Anolis sagrei: one gene and its partner. The protein of the gene in region 2 interacts with the protein of the main gene of each other region in a biochemical or structural test. Links are inferred from orthologs where the notes say so. Each region holds a gene or a part of one and is shown on either strand. Other genes may lie near its edges.

Region 1 (7,666 bases), on a different chromosome or scaffold from region 2:
TTATGAACAGATCATCTATGCCCTTTCACTTGTTTGCCCTCTTAGTTTAGGCACTCTGGCAGTGAGGGCTGGCTCTGTAGCACTACAAGTAAAATGAACTATTGCCCGTATCCAATGAACTAATGAACTATTCCCTATATTCTTTCCCTTTCTGCAAGATAAAAACGAGGGCATTTGACTCAGCAAATCCAATCCTTCTTAGCATGACTACCAGAGGGAGAGGAAAGTACAAGCAAGCAGAAGTTATAGTGGTTCTGATTCAAACCATTACAGACTCCACTTATCAATTCACATTGGTCTCAGACACCACACTTGGTCCACCCTAAGCTGCACAAAGAGATAAAGCCATTGAGCAAGTAGAGTCCCCAAAATGAGAATAAATGATTAACCAAGAGCAGTAAAGGCCATTATTTCCAATCATCACACCCCAATTCTCCCCACCAAGATTGGGAAAGGAAATGTACTTGTGATTTGTTTATGGACCTAGACACTTACATAGTACCCTGCCTCAGAGGACTGACACACAATGGACTTATATTTTTGAATAAACGATGGTCACAAGGAACCAGTACTCTTCACTCCAATTAGTCACCAACCTATGAAGGCCTATATCTCAGTGGAAAGAGATAAGGACTGGACCACTGAGGCTACTGAAAGCAACTGAGCAACCGTTTTCTCTGATCACTTGATCTCCACCTCCAGAGGATGCTGACCCCATACATCACCCATGCCCAGGTGGCTATTCTTCACAAGAGTTGTCCCCTCATCACAAATTCACTGGTGACCACAAGTCAGCAGCAGTTCACAAATATCATACACTCTTCAGACAATGTTACAGAGCAGCTCTGTATATAAATATAATGTATTTCCTTGACTGTAAGATGCAATCAGTTGTAAGAAATTCAGGATCACCAACAGAATTTTTTTCATTTAGATACCGTATTTATCCATTATAAACCACCATTGATTATAACGTGCACATTAATTCTAGCACAGCAACAGAAAAACTGTATCTATATATCTATACATATCAATACTAAGAGATACCCCATTTGTAGATATGTTTATTTGAGGGGAAAGTGAGCTTTTGAATCGAGAAAAAACAGTATATTAAAAGTTCCCGCAATTCTAAGGTCCCTCCAACACAGCTGTATAAAATCCACATTGAACTGAATTATATGGCAGTGTGGACTTAGAAACCCTTTTCTTCAATAAGGCTTTTAAAGATGACAGAGGGCCCTTCCACACAGCCCTATATCCCAGAATATAAAGACAGAAAATCCCACATTATCTGAGTGTGGACTCAGATAACCCCATTCAATGCAGATATGGTGGGATTTTCTGGCTTGATATTTTCGGGGTTATATGGCTGTGTGGAAGGGACCTCAGATAACCCCATTCAATGCAGACATGGTGGGATTTTCTGGCTTGATATTTTCGGGGTTATATGGCTGTGTGGAAGGGACCTCAGATAACCCCATTCAATGCGGATATGGTGGGATTTTCTGCCTTGATATTCTGGGATATAGGGGTGTGTGGAAGGGCCCTGGGTCATATGGCTGTGTGGAAGGGCCCTCAGATAACCCCATTCAATTCAGATATGATGGGATTTTCTGCTTTGATATTCTGGGTTATATGGCTGTGTGGAAGGGCCTTGAGATAACCCAATTCAATGCAAATATGGTGGGATTTTCTGCCTTGATATTCTGGGTTATATGGTTCTGTTGAAAGGCCTTTAGATAGCCCCATTCAAAGAAGGTTTGGTGGGATTTTCTGCCTTTACATTCTGGGATATAGGGGTGTGTGGAAGCGCCCTGGGCCATATGGTTGTGTGGAAGGGCCTTTAGATAACCCCATTCAAAGAAGGTTTGGTGGGATTTTCTGCCTTAATATTCTGGTTATGTAGCTGTGTGGAAGGGCCCTCAGATAACCCCAATCAAAGCAGAAATGGTGGGATTTTCTGCTTGATATTCTGGGTTATGTAGCTATTTGGAAGGGCCCTCAGATAACCCCATTCAAAGCAGAAATGGTGGGATGTTCTGCCTTGATATTCTGGGTTATGTGGCTGTGTGGAAGGGCCCTCAGATAACCCCACTCAAAGCAGATATGGTGGGATGTTCTGCCTTGATATTCTGGGTTATGTGGCTGTGTGGAAAGGCCTTTAGATAACCCCATTCAAAGGTTTGGTGGGATTTTCTGCCTTGATATTCTGGATTACGTGGCTGTGTGGAAGGTTGTGTGGAAGGGCCCTCAGATAAACCCATTCAAAGCAGATATGGTGGGATGTTCAGCCTCGATGTTTTGGATTATGTGGCTGTGTGGAAGGGCCCTTGGTGGTACACAGGGTAGGCCTGGTCGGGCCCTTCACAAGAGGAGAGCCCTGAAATACAGCCTTCCCGCAAAGACATGCTGCCCAATGGCCCCAACAACCTGGAGCCTGCGTTGGCGAAGTTGGTGTGAGCAGGTCCCTGAAGGGCCTGTCGGGCAAGTAGCAGCTTCAGGCAGTGAGGAGGGCCCCCTGCGAGGAGGAGGAGGAGGAGGCTGCCTGAAGGGGCCATTCAGGCGCGCGCGCCAGGAATTCGTTCGGCGTGACCCCTGACCCGGGCCCCTCTCCCCCTCCCCTCCCTCCTTGCGGAAAGGCCGGCCCCTCCCATTGCTGGGCAGAGGGGACCGCTGTGACGCACTCAGGGGCCCTGGGCGCGCGCAGGAGGGAAGGCAGGCGGGAGGGAGGGCTAGGCGAAGGGAGGGGAGGGGAGGGGAGGGCGCCCGCGAGCGGGAAAAAAAAGAGGCAGCCCAGCGGCCGCAGCCCTGCCTCGCACCTCTCCCCCCTCTCCGGACGCCACAGATGGTCCCGCCCGGACCCCCCGCGCCAGGGGCTCGATGGTCCGGCCCGGCTCTCCCCCACCCCTTCCCCTCGAGTCACTCACAATCTCTCCTCATCTCCGCTCGGCGCCGCCGCCGCCATTTTCTTCGCAGCGAAGAACCCGCGGGAGGGGGGGGAGAGGAGGGGGGGAAACCGAGCCGGAGAGGAAACCCGGAGAGCCAGGCCCCGCCCTCCTCGGCTGCCATTGGGCGGCGCGCCCCATCAGTCAGGGCGCCCCCCGAGAGCGATTGGCCGGCGCCTTTCCACACGGGCGAGGCGGCCCTGCTTCCTTGCGGCCGTTAGAATTGGCGGGAAGCGCTGTCAGTTACAACGGTACGAAGTAGGCCGCGGAGAGGAGCCCGCGCTCTTCGCCATTGGCCCTCTCTCGCCACCAGGCCTCAAGGGTTTGGAAATGCCGCCCCTGAGCAGGCCGCTCCCTGTCGTCATGCGAGCAACCTTCTCAGCATATGTCAGGGCTGTCCCTTTCATGTGGCCCATCAAGTAGCATCAAGGTCATGTTCCCACAGCTTCCTGAGAAGACCAACAGACGGTCGCAATTCACCTCAGGGCCTTTGAACAGCCGAACTGGACAAATAATATATTTCCGTGAATGACAGCAATTCTTGTACCGTGACAGCACAGATTCCCCCAAGGACTGTTTTACCCACATCACAGGCATTTTGTTTCCTCCTCAGATGGTCCAGCGTTCTCACCCACACCTGTAAAGCACCGCATACATCTTTACCACAGCAGTGGCAGAATTCCTAGTGGCAAATTCACCACCATAAGAGGCCAGCTGGGGCGATGTGCTTCACTGCAGGGATAGGAAATAGTGTGCCTTTGCTGACATACCTCTTATTGGAAAGCAGATGTGCTGCAGCTCTAGATGGGGAAAAAAACACTCCCTCTCAGGTGAGAATAACAAACAAAAATCCCTGTCCTATTTTCAAAGCTAAACACTAAAGCAGGGGTCCTCAAACTAAGGCCCGAGGGCCGAATACAGCCCTACAAGGTCATTTACCCAGCCCTCGTTCAGGGTTGACCTAAGTCTTGAAAGCACACAACAGCAATCCTTTCTCAGCAGCCAAAAGCAGGCCCACACTTCCCATTGAAATACTAATAAGTTTATATTTGTTAAAATTGTTCTTCATTTTAATTCTTGTATTGTTTTTAAGTGTTTTTTGCACTACAAATAAAATATGTGCAGCGTGCATAGGAATTAATTCATGCTTCATTTTAATTATTGTATTGTTTTTAAGTGCTTTTTGTACTACAAATAAAATACATGCAGCGTGCATAGGAATTAATTCAATTAATTCATGCTTTTTTCAAATTATAATCTGGCCCTCCAACAGTTTGAAGGACTGTGACCTGGCCCTCTGCTTAAAAAGTTTGAGGACCCCTGCACTAAAGGATACAATAGACACCCTTTAATATCTGGAGAAAGGACGTGATGTGATTTATTTTCATATTCCTGACAGAACTGTTAAAACTAGTTTATTCCTCTGTGTGTCCTTAAACAGCCTCTTGACTTATAGAAACCCTGTCAATTTCATAAGATTTTCTTTAGCAAGGAATACTCAAGAAGTGGCTCGCTACTGACTCGCATATAGCCAATAATACCTTGAATTCTCCCATTATTATTCTTATAATGCAATTTGTTTCATAAAGATCAAGTAGACAGACAGAGGCGGCCCTAGGTAATTTTCAACAGTAAGCAAACAGTATTTTGGCGCCTCCCCCCAACCAATCATTGATATATATTTTCTGTTCGTCGTGGGAGTTCTGTGTGCCATATTTGGTTCAATTCCATCATTGGTGAAGTTCAGAATGCTCTTTGATTGTAGGTGAACTGTACATCCCAGTAACTACAACTGGCATATGTCAAGGTCTATTTTCCCCCAAGAATGCCTCAAGAGCACTCCTGGGCAAAATCAACTATACTGCAAATGCTTACTTTGCGTAATGGGTTGAGCCGCCCCTGTAGACAGAATATATTGTAAAGAACAAAAATAACTTTCTGGCCTTGCATTACACATTTTAGTGCAAATATTAAGACACAAATAGTGTTCAATTCAGCAGGTATTGCAGAGTGTCATGCCAGTCTTATTTATTTATTTCTACTTTTCTTCCGAATCGGAATTTATTTCTACTTTTCTTCCGAATCGGAACTTAAAGCAGCCAACACCATGTAAATAAAACATACATAAAAATAAACATAACCAACAGATCAGAACATATCTGATAAAATTATAAACCCGCAACACACGTAATACGTGACGCAAAAAACAATTTATTCCGTAGATTAAAACCGCAAACTAAAACTAAAATCCATTCTTTTAGGCTGTTGTCAGTGATTGGGCAAATAAATTTTCTTCAAATCACAATTTTATAAATAAAAATGTATCATTTGTTTACCATATTGTATTAAACACAGAGACAGTTACATAAACATGACCATCAAGTAATATCATTATGAACATTTGGCTTTTGGTACTTTTAACAGTGCAATCCTACATAGTGTCTATTCCAATATAATTTCCTTTGGATAAAATGGTGCTTGCTCCCCAGAAAATTAGAATAATTCACTTTAACTTACAGATTCAGAAACATGACAGATTCAGTGTATAGCAATGAATGTGGAAAAAATTGAATTTTAAAGGGTGTTTTTTTAACCTGAGAGAACATAACTTTAGGAATTTCTAAGTCACCATGACTTTATGATTAACTTCCAGTGGACGTTGATTGTATAATTGTGCTGGAGAATCTAGACATTCTTACAACATAGTAATCAAATCCGCAAATGTGAAATCCAGGAATATGAAATGTCAGCTGTAAATCCAGACATACACTTCATATGAGTATCCTGTTCTAAAAGCAGTGTAGCCATGTTTGTGCTATAAAAAGCTACCACATAACATTCATTTATGCAAAATAAGTGAGATGGAGGAAACCTAGTGGAAGACGTGCTTGATGTGGCTCATACCACTAGGAGAAACAGAACTGATGTTGAAGGCCGCAAGGCAACCAATTGCTGTCAGTTGGGCAAGATATGCCTTTCTCCCTCATAATGGTGAGCAGTGTTGGGAATGACTACTTCTCTTGAATGTCGCTTTGATAACATGCCAAATAAATACGCAGATACAAGTGAAAACGAACAGATCACTAGAGTGGGAAAGGTGTGGAAATGAAACAACAGGAAACTTTACTGTCCCGTCATTTGCCATGTGCATGCATTAGACACGCATCTGCCCCCTACTGAATGTTGAAGTCCACAAATGTATAGAAACCTTGATGCTGGAGGCCCAATACAAAAGCTGTCAAGCAGAATTTAATTTTCTAGGTTTAAAAATAAGAATGTTGATGATGTGCATAATTTCACATTTTTAAAACCAAAGTCCACAAGAATTGTGTCCATCGTATCTATTATCTCTGCAATCCTTCCACATCACACCAGAAGTTTTCTCTGGCCACTATTTGTTTCACAACTACATTTTCCAAAATTCATTTCTTATAAGACACGTGGGTTTTTAGTATATCTGTGACAAAAAAATTATTCTACATATATAACCTAATGTCAGTGTACATGCATGACAGATAAACCATCATTTACTAAATTCAGAATACCTGCTAAACACATGGAAGCCCTACAATTTTTTTTCTCAGCCAACCTAAAACTGTCCTAGTTTCATCAACTGAACTACAGTCATGTCTTTTCACGTCCATTTGAACTGGATAAACATGTCAGAGTCCCTCTGTTATTCTCTTAATGATCACAGTCTTACTCAGATTGGAATCCTATTCTCCCACCCACTATTTATATAGAAATATGGCTGAGTCATTCAGTGGATCCATATGATGTCCTATACAATCACTTCGCACATGCACACAAACAATACAATCTCAACCCTGCAACAAAGCTGCACTGTCCCTACATATGTTTGACACACTAATTTGAATCACAATAGTGTTCCTTTTAAAAATGAACTTGTAGACCAATCTGTTTCACAAATTACATGTTGCTTACAGCATTTTAACACATTTTCCTCATTACTCTGTTTTGTAAAACTCAGCCCTTTCATAAATATTTTAAAAAGATAATTTCCTTCTAAATGCCTTTTGTTCTATAGCTTTTAACATAATGCGGGAAATGAGAAGAATCAGGACTACAGTAAAAATATATAAAAGTTTAAATATATTTTTTATTTGTAGTATGCAGTCATTCCAGCCGAAAAGTATTGTGACAGGTTTTAGAATATATTTGTGTGTTTCAACTGTTTTATATGTTTGTATTTTCCTTATACTAAAATTTCAATGATTAAGATTATTTTGTGGGAAATATTTCTGTGATTTTTTTTATTTGTGTAAGTATTTGCCAGAAAAATATAGTCTTTATACTAAAACCATCATCCAAGCATACTGACAGTACAGTTCTATGATTGTTTAGCAGAAGTGAGTTCTGTTGTGCTCTATAAGTATTGCTCCTAAGTAAATGTAAATAGATTTCATTCTAAATACAATACTGAATATATCTTCTGAAAAAAGCCACACTGAAATAATCAGGTCACAGCAAAATAAATATGTACAAGATTCCAGTGTTTCCAGATTTATATAAATCTCCAAAATCTTGTGGTGATCTTTTATTGATCAATCAAAAGGTGCAGTGCAATATGTGCAATTATTCTAATTATATGAGCATTTAAGCCATGATGAAATTAATTGGACACTTTGTTGTTTTTAATTTCTCTCACGTCTACTTTGACTTGTGGCACCCTATAAATGAGAGAGTTCCAGGTCACCCAG
Region 2 (7,933 bases):
AAACAATTTCAACAAAATTTACAAATAGGTGGTAACAAAATAGTCAACATAGCCAGAAGATTACATTAGCTAGAATGGAAAGTACAGGAAAATATTGGTCTATCTTGCCTATACTGTTGGAAACCATTCACCAGGTTTTCAGGCAGGAGTTGTTTTCAAAAAAGATTGTGTGGAATGAATGTAGGGCCTTTTGCATGAAATGCAATGTATGGGCTCTGCACCTATATCCTCTCCTTATTTGTTTCTCCAAGAATTAAATCCTTGACTAAAGATAGAAGTAAATCCAATCTTTCTTTCTTTCCTGTTTCAGTTGTCTGTTCAGTTTCTAAGTTCTCCAGATTGGGTTTGGGGCTTGCACAGTGGTCTACTGTAGAAAAGCTGCCTCTTACCAGTTTTGTTGAATGCTGCTATTCTGCCAGTGAAATACCATCACTAGATACTGCCTATAGAGTTCATGCCATTCTAACTGGACATTTGAGACTTCACTCAGGTAGCCAATCAACATAAAGTATGATTTTATTTTCTAGAAAGCACAATTGTGTTATAATCAACAAGTTTATTAAGATTGTTCCTTAAACATCTTGAGTTACACACTATGTTATACTTGGTGTGCCTAATGTATGAATTTCTACAGCTGATTTGCAATTTCTACAACACGTCACATTTTAATCTTAGTAAAGCGATACTCACTTGAATCGTGCAGGAGAGAGTGGGGTAGGAGGAAACATTCCTGGTTCAAAGGAATCAAAGTATGTCACTGTCCAGGAAAAACTGCAGCACGACAGCCCAGCCATTAATGACAGAACAAGAAGAGTCCAAAATCCTTGCAAAAGAAGAGCACAGTAGTAAACATTGAAAGCTTAAAATACAACATTAAAAAGATAATACACAGGAGTTATTGCTAGAAAGTAGAAAAACAAAGGAGGTAACAGGCATACAATTGTCTAAATACAATTCTATCTACACATATTTACTCAGATGATGAATGTGGAATATTCCCATATAATACCTGGACCATTACTTCTTAAACTGAGGGTTCTGGCCTCAAATGGGGTCCCCTTAGCTCTATGTTGGGTTCACGACAAATTTGGTAACAATTTTCTTTCTGAATGCCACCTAGATATTTACAACAACTCTGTTAGCAACAACTCTGCAGAAATCGCTGTAGCTATATTGCACAAAAAAGGAAAACCAGACTGTTCAGCAAGCCTTGCAAATGCTGATTTATTAGTAAGTGTTTGATTTATATAACTTTTTATATACCTATATAGCTGGGGTCACATAAAAATTTCCTGGGAACCTTGCTCCAGATAGTAGCTTCATAGTATTTTTGACTGCTTTATTCATAGCAAACAAGGAGTTAGCTTTCAAAGTACAGGGAATATATGTTGCCTTCAATGGAACGTATATCCCCCCACCCCACACAGTGCTTGTCATTCCAATCCCATTTTTGGAAAAAAAAAATCATTATACTCATAATTACCTCCTCTAAGGTGAGCAATCTCACTATGTTTTTGATTTTCCTATCCTCTGCTGGTTTAGACTGAGATCCTTATAACACTAGATTGCTATAGCAGTATGGTTTCACATAAACTACCATACCAATGGTAGTTAAAGGATCCTGGGATTTGAAGTTTAGGGAAGAGTACCTAGGATTCTCCACCACAGAGGTCTTTCCCCACCCCCCAACTAAAAACCTTGGAAATCTACAATATGTTGCCATGATAGTTAGACGTGAGACATTGTGCTATAAAAATGTAATGTAAGGAAAGAAGGAGGACCCTTATTAAAAAAGGAGGAAGAGGCATTTTTAAATGAGGAAGAATAACTTCTGCTTCTATATAAAGCTCCTCCTCCAGACTATAACAGACCAAGGAGAGCAAGCACATTTGTGAAAGAGAAAACTTAAAAGTTGTTTTTGGTTTTAAGGAAAAATTTAAAAATATAGGTGGTGGTGACCTCAATTATGGTCTTGTGGTTACATTATACCCACCTCACTCTAAAGCACTTAATAATTCATTTTATACTAAGTGAGTGGGTAGAATAACATAAGACACTTAAGGCATAAATCAAGATAACTGTAATGTGATTTCAGCATACATGATTTGTTATAATTTTAAATTTACAAATGTAGGCATGCTTGGAAATATTTTTTTGGAATATGAATGGAATACATATTAGCACTCATTGAACATTATAAACCTCAAATGTAGGATATTTATTTTGATTATTAATTAAGGTGTTGGATAATTTTACTGTTCCTTTAAAAAAGAATCATTTTTAAAATATAGCAGTCATTGATCCAAGAATGAGTAATGCACCAGTAAGTGTTCCACAATGAATGAATTTTAAAAATGTCTTACCTAAAATACTTGTTTCTACAGTATCTTCAGCCCTTGCTTTTTCATATCTCAAATCTGCAAGGAGAAGGCATGGTTATCTACAGTAGCCACTGGGACCTACCCTCAGAAAACATTTTGAATATCTTGCTTATGTTTTTTTTAAGAAAAGAAAATCATTTTGTCTCTTTGCAATCATGAAAATTGGCCACATCCTCTCTTTCCTGAACTTCTCTATGCTGTAGCCTGGGTACATTCACCTGTCTATAAATATATGTACATAGAAACTCCTATGACATCAAGAATGCCTGAGTGAAATTTAGCTTTGAATGTGGTAAATAATATGTATATCGTGTAGAATCAGATCCCATATGATCTTGGAAGCTAAGCATGGTCAGACCTGGTTAGCACTTAGATGGGAGGCTCCCAGTGAAATACAGCCAACAGGTGCTGTTGGCTGTATTTCAGGGAAGAAACTGGTAAAACCACCTCTGAGTATTCATTGCCTAAGAAAACCCAATCAAATACATGGGAACGCCATAAACAGTCAGGTAGTCTAAAGGCATGTGCATGCACACACACACCAGGGCGTGTAACCATCCAATATATTATGAAGCAGGGGCCTAAATACCTAAAAGCACCAGATCTTCTCTGATCTTGGAAGCGAAGTTGTATCAATACTGCTTACTACAAGGATAAAGGACCATCAAGGATTGATGGATGCTGTATACTTTATTTCAGATGAAGAAACTATCAAAACCTCTGAGTATTCCTTGCCCTTCACAGGCAATGCGACGACAAACACTACGCACATACTATAAATAATAATAGCAAAGACTGAGGTATCCGTTTATCCAATATGGGGGATATTTTTCTTCTAAAATTCCAGAGGTTGGCACTATATTTGTATTAATAAGCTACAACTGAGTCTTGCTTTCCTGTGAACTCACTGTGAACCTTTAGCCAATCACGCATGACCCATCATAACTATGCTTGCGTAGGGTGACAGTAAACTTTAGAATTAATTCAGATTGACACCGCTTTAACTGCCATGGCTCAATGCTATGGAATCCTGGGAGCTTGGTGAGGCACCAGCACCTTTTGGCCCCATCTAGTAAAGGTTTCCCCTGACATTAAGTCTATTCGTGTCCAACTCTGGGCGGTGGTGGGGGGTGCTCATCTCAATTTCTAAGCCAAAGAGCCGGTGTTGTTCGTCGACGTCTTCAAGGTCATGTGGCTAGCATGACTGCATGGAGCACTGCTACCTTCCCGCAGAAGTGATACCTATTGATCTACCCACATTTTGCATGTTTTCGAACTGCTAGATTGGCAGAAGCTGAGGGTAATAGTGGGGGCTCACCCCGCTTCCTGGATTTGAACCGCTGACCTTTCAGTCAGTAAAGTTCATCAGCTCAGCAGTTTAACCTGCTGTGCCACCAGGGGGACATTTGGCCCCATCTACAATGCTGTATAATGTACGTCACTGTACTGAACTGTATTATACGAGTCTACACTGCCATAGAATGCAGTTCAATGGAAGTGCAGATGGGGCTTCTGGCAGAACAGGCCAAAGACCTTGTAAACCTATAACTCTTGGGAAGAATTGCATTGATCCATGGCAGTTAAACTGGGTGTCAAACTGCATTCCTCCTCCAGTGCAGCCATGTTGCATCAGATCCAGTTCAGGAGTGAACCACTTTGGGGCTTAAGCGATTGAGGGGGGGAAGGACGGGGCCTGGGGCTGTTTGGAATTGTGGGAGTGGGGAGCCAGAACTCCTGGAGGGCCCAATTTGGCGTTTCTCGGCGGGTTCCGAGCGCCCCCCGCCCCCCCAGCGCTCACCTCTCAGCACCAGGCAGCCGAGGGCGAGCAAGAAGGCCAGGAAGGTCACGGCCAGGAGGCAGCAGAACACAGCGCAGATCCTGCTGGGCCACCGGCGCCCGGGGAGCGACACCCCGAGCAGGCCCGCCCGAGGAGAATTCGCGGGGGAGGCCTCGTAGCTTCGCCCAAGGCCGCCCAGCACGCCTCCCGCACCCCCTCCCTCGCCCTCCTCCTCCTCCTCGAAGTCCGCCTCCAGGGTCCGCGCCACCCCGCCTCCGTCCGGCGTCCAAGCCGCGCTAGGCCCGCTCTGGCTGGAGCCCCGATAGGACGCTGCCATGGCAACCGAACACTCAGGCAGGAGGGGCGGGGGAAGCAGAGGCCCACCACTCGGCCTACACCGGAAGTCTAGGCAAGAAAAAAGGTGGGTGGGGAAATCTAGAAGCCCCGCCTTTTCCTGCGTAACGGCAACGAGTGGCCTCCCATCATGCTCCGCGCCTTGAACCCTCCCCTTTTCTTAACCCTCACAACGGCTCTCCTTTCTCTTTGCCCGCCCCCTCCTCCTTTCCCTGGGCTAAGGAAGGGCCCTCTTGGGCTTCCGTAGCCCTGCTAGCGGAAGCCGCTTTCCCAGTGTCCTTTGCGCGGCCCGTCTCTTTTTTTCCCTCCCCTCCCCCTTCCCGCCTGTGCTTCCCATTCCTCCGCCTGAGGCCTTCTTCTGGTGGGACGAGGCCCGGCCTTGCCCGCCTGCCCGCGCCGCTTTGGCCTCCTGCGGCGAGGAAGACACAAGAGGGTTTTTTTGTTTGTTTCTCGGCCCCGCCCGCGCCGTAGGCTGACTTTCGACGACAAAGCCGCCCCCCTCCCCCCACTCCGCGCGCAAATTTCCCCCCCGGGGAGTTCCTTCCGCGCCCCTCTCCTCAGGCAAGCAGGCAGGCAGGCCGGGCCTAGGCGCTCGCTCGAGAGAGAAAGGGAGGGAGGCCGCCCGGCCGGCCATGTCAGGCGGGGACTCGGCGGCGGCCTCCCCGCAGGCGCTGCCCTTCTCGCTGCCCAAGCCGCCCCCCCTCATGCAGCTCAACCCGGGCGAGGGCGTCCGGCCGGGCCCTGAGCAGTCGCCCAAGAGAGGCCGCGGCCCCGACTGGCCCTCCGGGAAGCCCGTCAGCCTCTTGGCGCCGCTCCTGCCCCCGCGCGGGGAGCCCGAGCCCCTACTGCCCTTCGGGCCCGCTTCCCGCCAGCCGCTCCGGGGAAGGATGCTCGGCAGGTGCGGAGGAGGAGGAGGCGGCCCCGGAGGAGGAGGAGGCCCCGGAGGCGGGGGGAACCCTCTCAACCCGGCCATGAGGCCCGGAGGAGGAGGAGGAGGACCCGGTGGAGGCGGAGGTGGCGGCGGCGGCATGGGCCGAGACGCCCTCATGGTGAGTTTTGGCGTGGCCCTTGACCCCCACGCAGACTTAATGCAGCCTGGCGCCGCTTCACGTGCCTGCACACAATGCCTTGGGACTTACATGCCAAAAAGTGCCGGCGCCTCACCAAACTCCAAACTCCCAGGATTCCATAGCGGTTACAGTAATGCCAGGCAGCATTCATTCTCGTGCCCGTTTGGTTGCCGACCCTCAACTACACCCCCAACACTTTCCTCCAACCCGCTTTCGCAAGCCTCCCAATTTTGTGTGGTATTTATCCCTTTATGTCCTGTGGTCAAGAGCCCCTGGTGGTGCAATGGGTTAAACCAGTGGTTCTTAACTTGTGGGTCCCTAGATGTTTTGGTCTTTAACTCTCAAAAATCCTAACAAGTGATAAACTGGCTGGGATTTCTGGATGTTGTAGGCCAAAACACCTGGGTACCCACAGGTTGAGAACCACTGGGTTAAACCCTTACGCAACTGAACTGGTCGACCAAAAGGTTGGCAGTTCGAACCTAGGGAGCAGGGTAAGCTCATGTCAGTCAAGCTCCAGCTCCCCATGCAGGGACACAAGAGAAGCCTCCCACAAGGATGGTAAAACATCAAACATCTGGGCATCTGCTGGGCAATGTTCTTGCAAACAGTCAATTCTCTCACCCAGAAATGACTTGCAGTTTCTCAAGTCACTCCTGACACACACAAAAAACCTGGGGATCTATGGACCACCAGGACTAAAATATGGTCTGCATCCTCACTGTTACTACACCATTGCAATGAGAATGACTGGTCTAGCAAAACCCTCTTATAGTGCATAATAATAATCTTTATTTATATCCTGCCACCATCTCCCCAATGGGGACGCAGGGCGGCTAACATGAGGCCAAGCCCAAAAATACAATACAGCAAAATAAAATAGAAAGCAACAAAAATTACATCACAATAAGATACATGAAGTAACAAAATAAAATAAGTATTTAGTCACACCTAAATCTTTATGTACCAGGAAAATGTTTTGAATGGGTTCGTAGGTTGGTTGCTAAGCAATTTAGAGGTAGATACAGTACTTGATAATTGGTTCAAGTTCCAGATTCAATGTGTTCACTGCTAGTGGAGTAGAAAGGTAATATTTTCTTGATTCCTGTTAATATATAAACTTGTTATTGTACCTTTATAAAGCCATTTTTGTACCCTGACGCATGAGTGCTTTGAAGTCCTTTAAACCCTTAAGTCTGGACATAGGAAAATGTCAGAACCAAAAGCAATTTATGTAGACAAATGGAGGCTCAATGTAAGAAAAAGTTATTTTGCATGTGTGGTATTCCACACAATTGGTTTTATTACTCTTTTCTTCAGTCTCAGACAGCTTTATTATCTTCATGATGACTAGTAGTCATGTGCATTTGGGACATACCTTAATCCGTTTTGTGTCCCGGCTTTAGGTGGGGGGCCCAATCCGTTTTTGTCTGAGCCTCCTGAATTCGGGAGGTCAGATATTTTTGTTTTTGTTTTCAGGGCCAAAAGATCTGTTTTCTTTCAGCCTATTGTTGAGGGAGGAGACTTCACCCGTAGGCCCAAACTGCCTGAGCCTGTGGGTGCAGGCTTTGGGCCTATGCACCTGGGCCTTGCAAGGTCTGCAGCTGAGTGCCAAGTAAGGAGCGCTCCTTACTGAGTGCTCAGCTGCAGGCCCTGCGAGGCCGAATGCATAGCCCCACAGCTTGCACCTGTAGGACTGGGCACTTCGTACCTATGGGTGCAGGCTTCCTGGCCTACATGCCTGGGCCTGGGAGGGCCTGCAGCCAAACACCAAGTAAGGAGCACTTCTTACTCAGTGCTCGGCTGCAGGCACTGCCAGGCCCCAGGCAATTGATACAAAAAGCAGGCTTGGAACTGGTACCCACTCCCACCCCTGCCTTTCGTATTGATTGCATTTTCATTCCAGGTAAAACATGATGTTTTGGTGCTTCATTTGTAAAATTATAATATGTATTGAATAGGCTTTCCTTAATCCTTCCTTATTATCCAACATTTTCACTTAACCAATGTTCTGCCGGCCCATTTATGTTGGGTCCTACAGTATATATTGTATACAGTCAGTCTTCCCATATTTTCAGGTTTTGATTTGGTGATTTGAGTATGCACTGATTAATTGAAATGTTTTCTCATGAGAATATCTGTGCCTTCCAGTGCAACTTCTGTCGGAATCACACTGGAGGACCAAGACCAGCTCTCTAGGAATCACTAGATTGCTCCAGCATGATACTAGCCGAAGTTGACCATAGAATCATGCTGAGGAACCTAGAGATTCCTGGAGAGGTGTATTCTCGGGCTTCTAAAAATAATTTTTAAAAATGGCTTCTAATGTTAAATAGTATTGTTTGGTAAAT

Evidence for each region.
Region 1: the proteins of PRPF40A (region 2) and MECP2 form a complex in vitro, tested with the Homo sapiens proteins (2 studies listed by BioGRID, with this or other methods). The link is inferred for Anolis sagrei from reciprocal best matches to the Homo sapiens genes PRPF40A and MECP2.

What each region holds. Positions count from the first base shown.
Region 1 is NC_090022.1:175,856,441-175,864,106, reverse strand, and holds the start of MECP2 (methyl-CpG-binding protein 2), read right to left. Parts: upstream 3,020-7,666; 5' UTR 2,966-3,019; coding exon 2,928-2,965; intron 1-2,927. UniProt on the Homo sapiens protein: Chromosomal protein that binds to methylated DNA. It can bind specifically to a single methyl-CpG pair. It is not influenced by sequences flanking the methyl-CpGs.
Region 2 is NC_090021.1:204,089,683-204,097,615, forward strand, and holds the start of PRPF40A (pre-mRNA-processing factor 40 homolog A), read left to right. Parts: upstream 1-4,865; 5' UTR 4,866-5,144; coding exon 5,145-5,561; intron 5,562-7,933. Other genes in the region: ARL6IP6 (ADP-ribosylation factor-like protein 6-interacting protein 6), read right to left, coding at 691-823, 2,364-2,417, 4,180-4,495.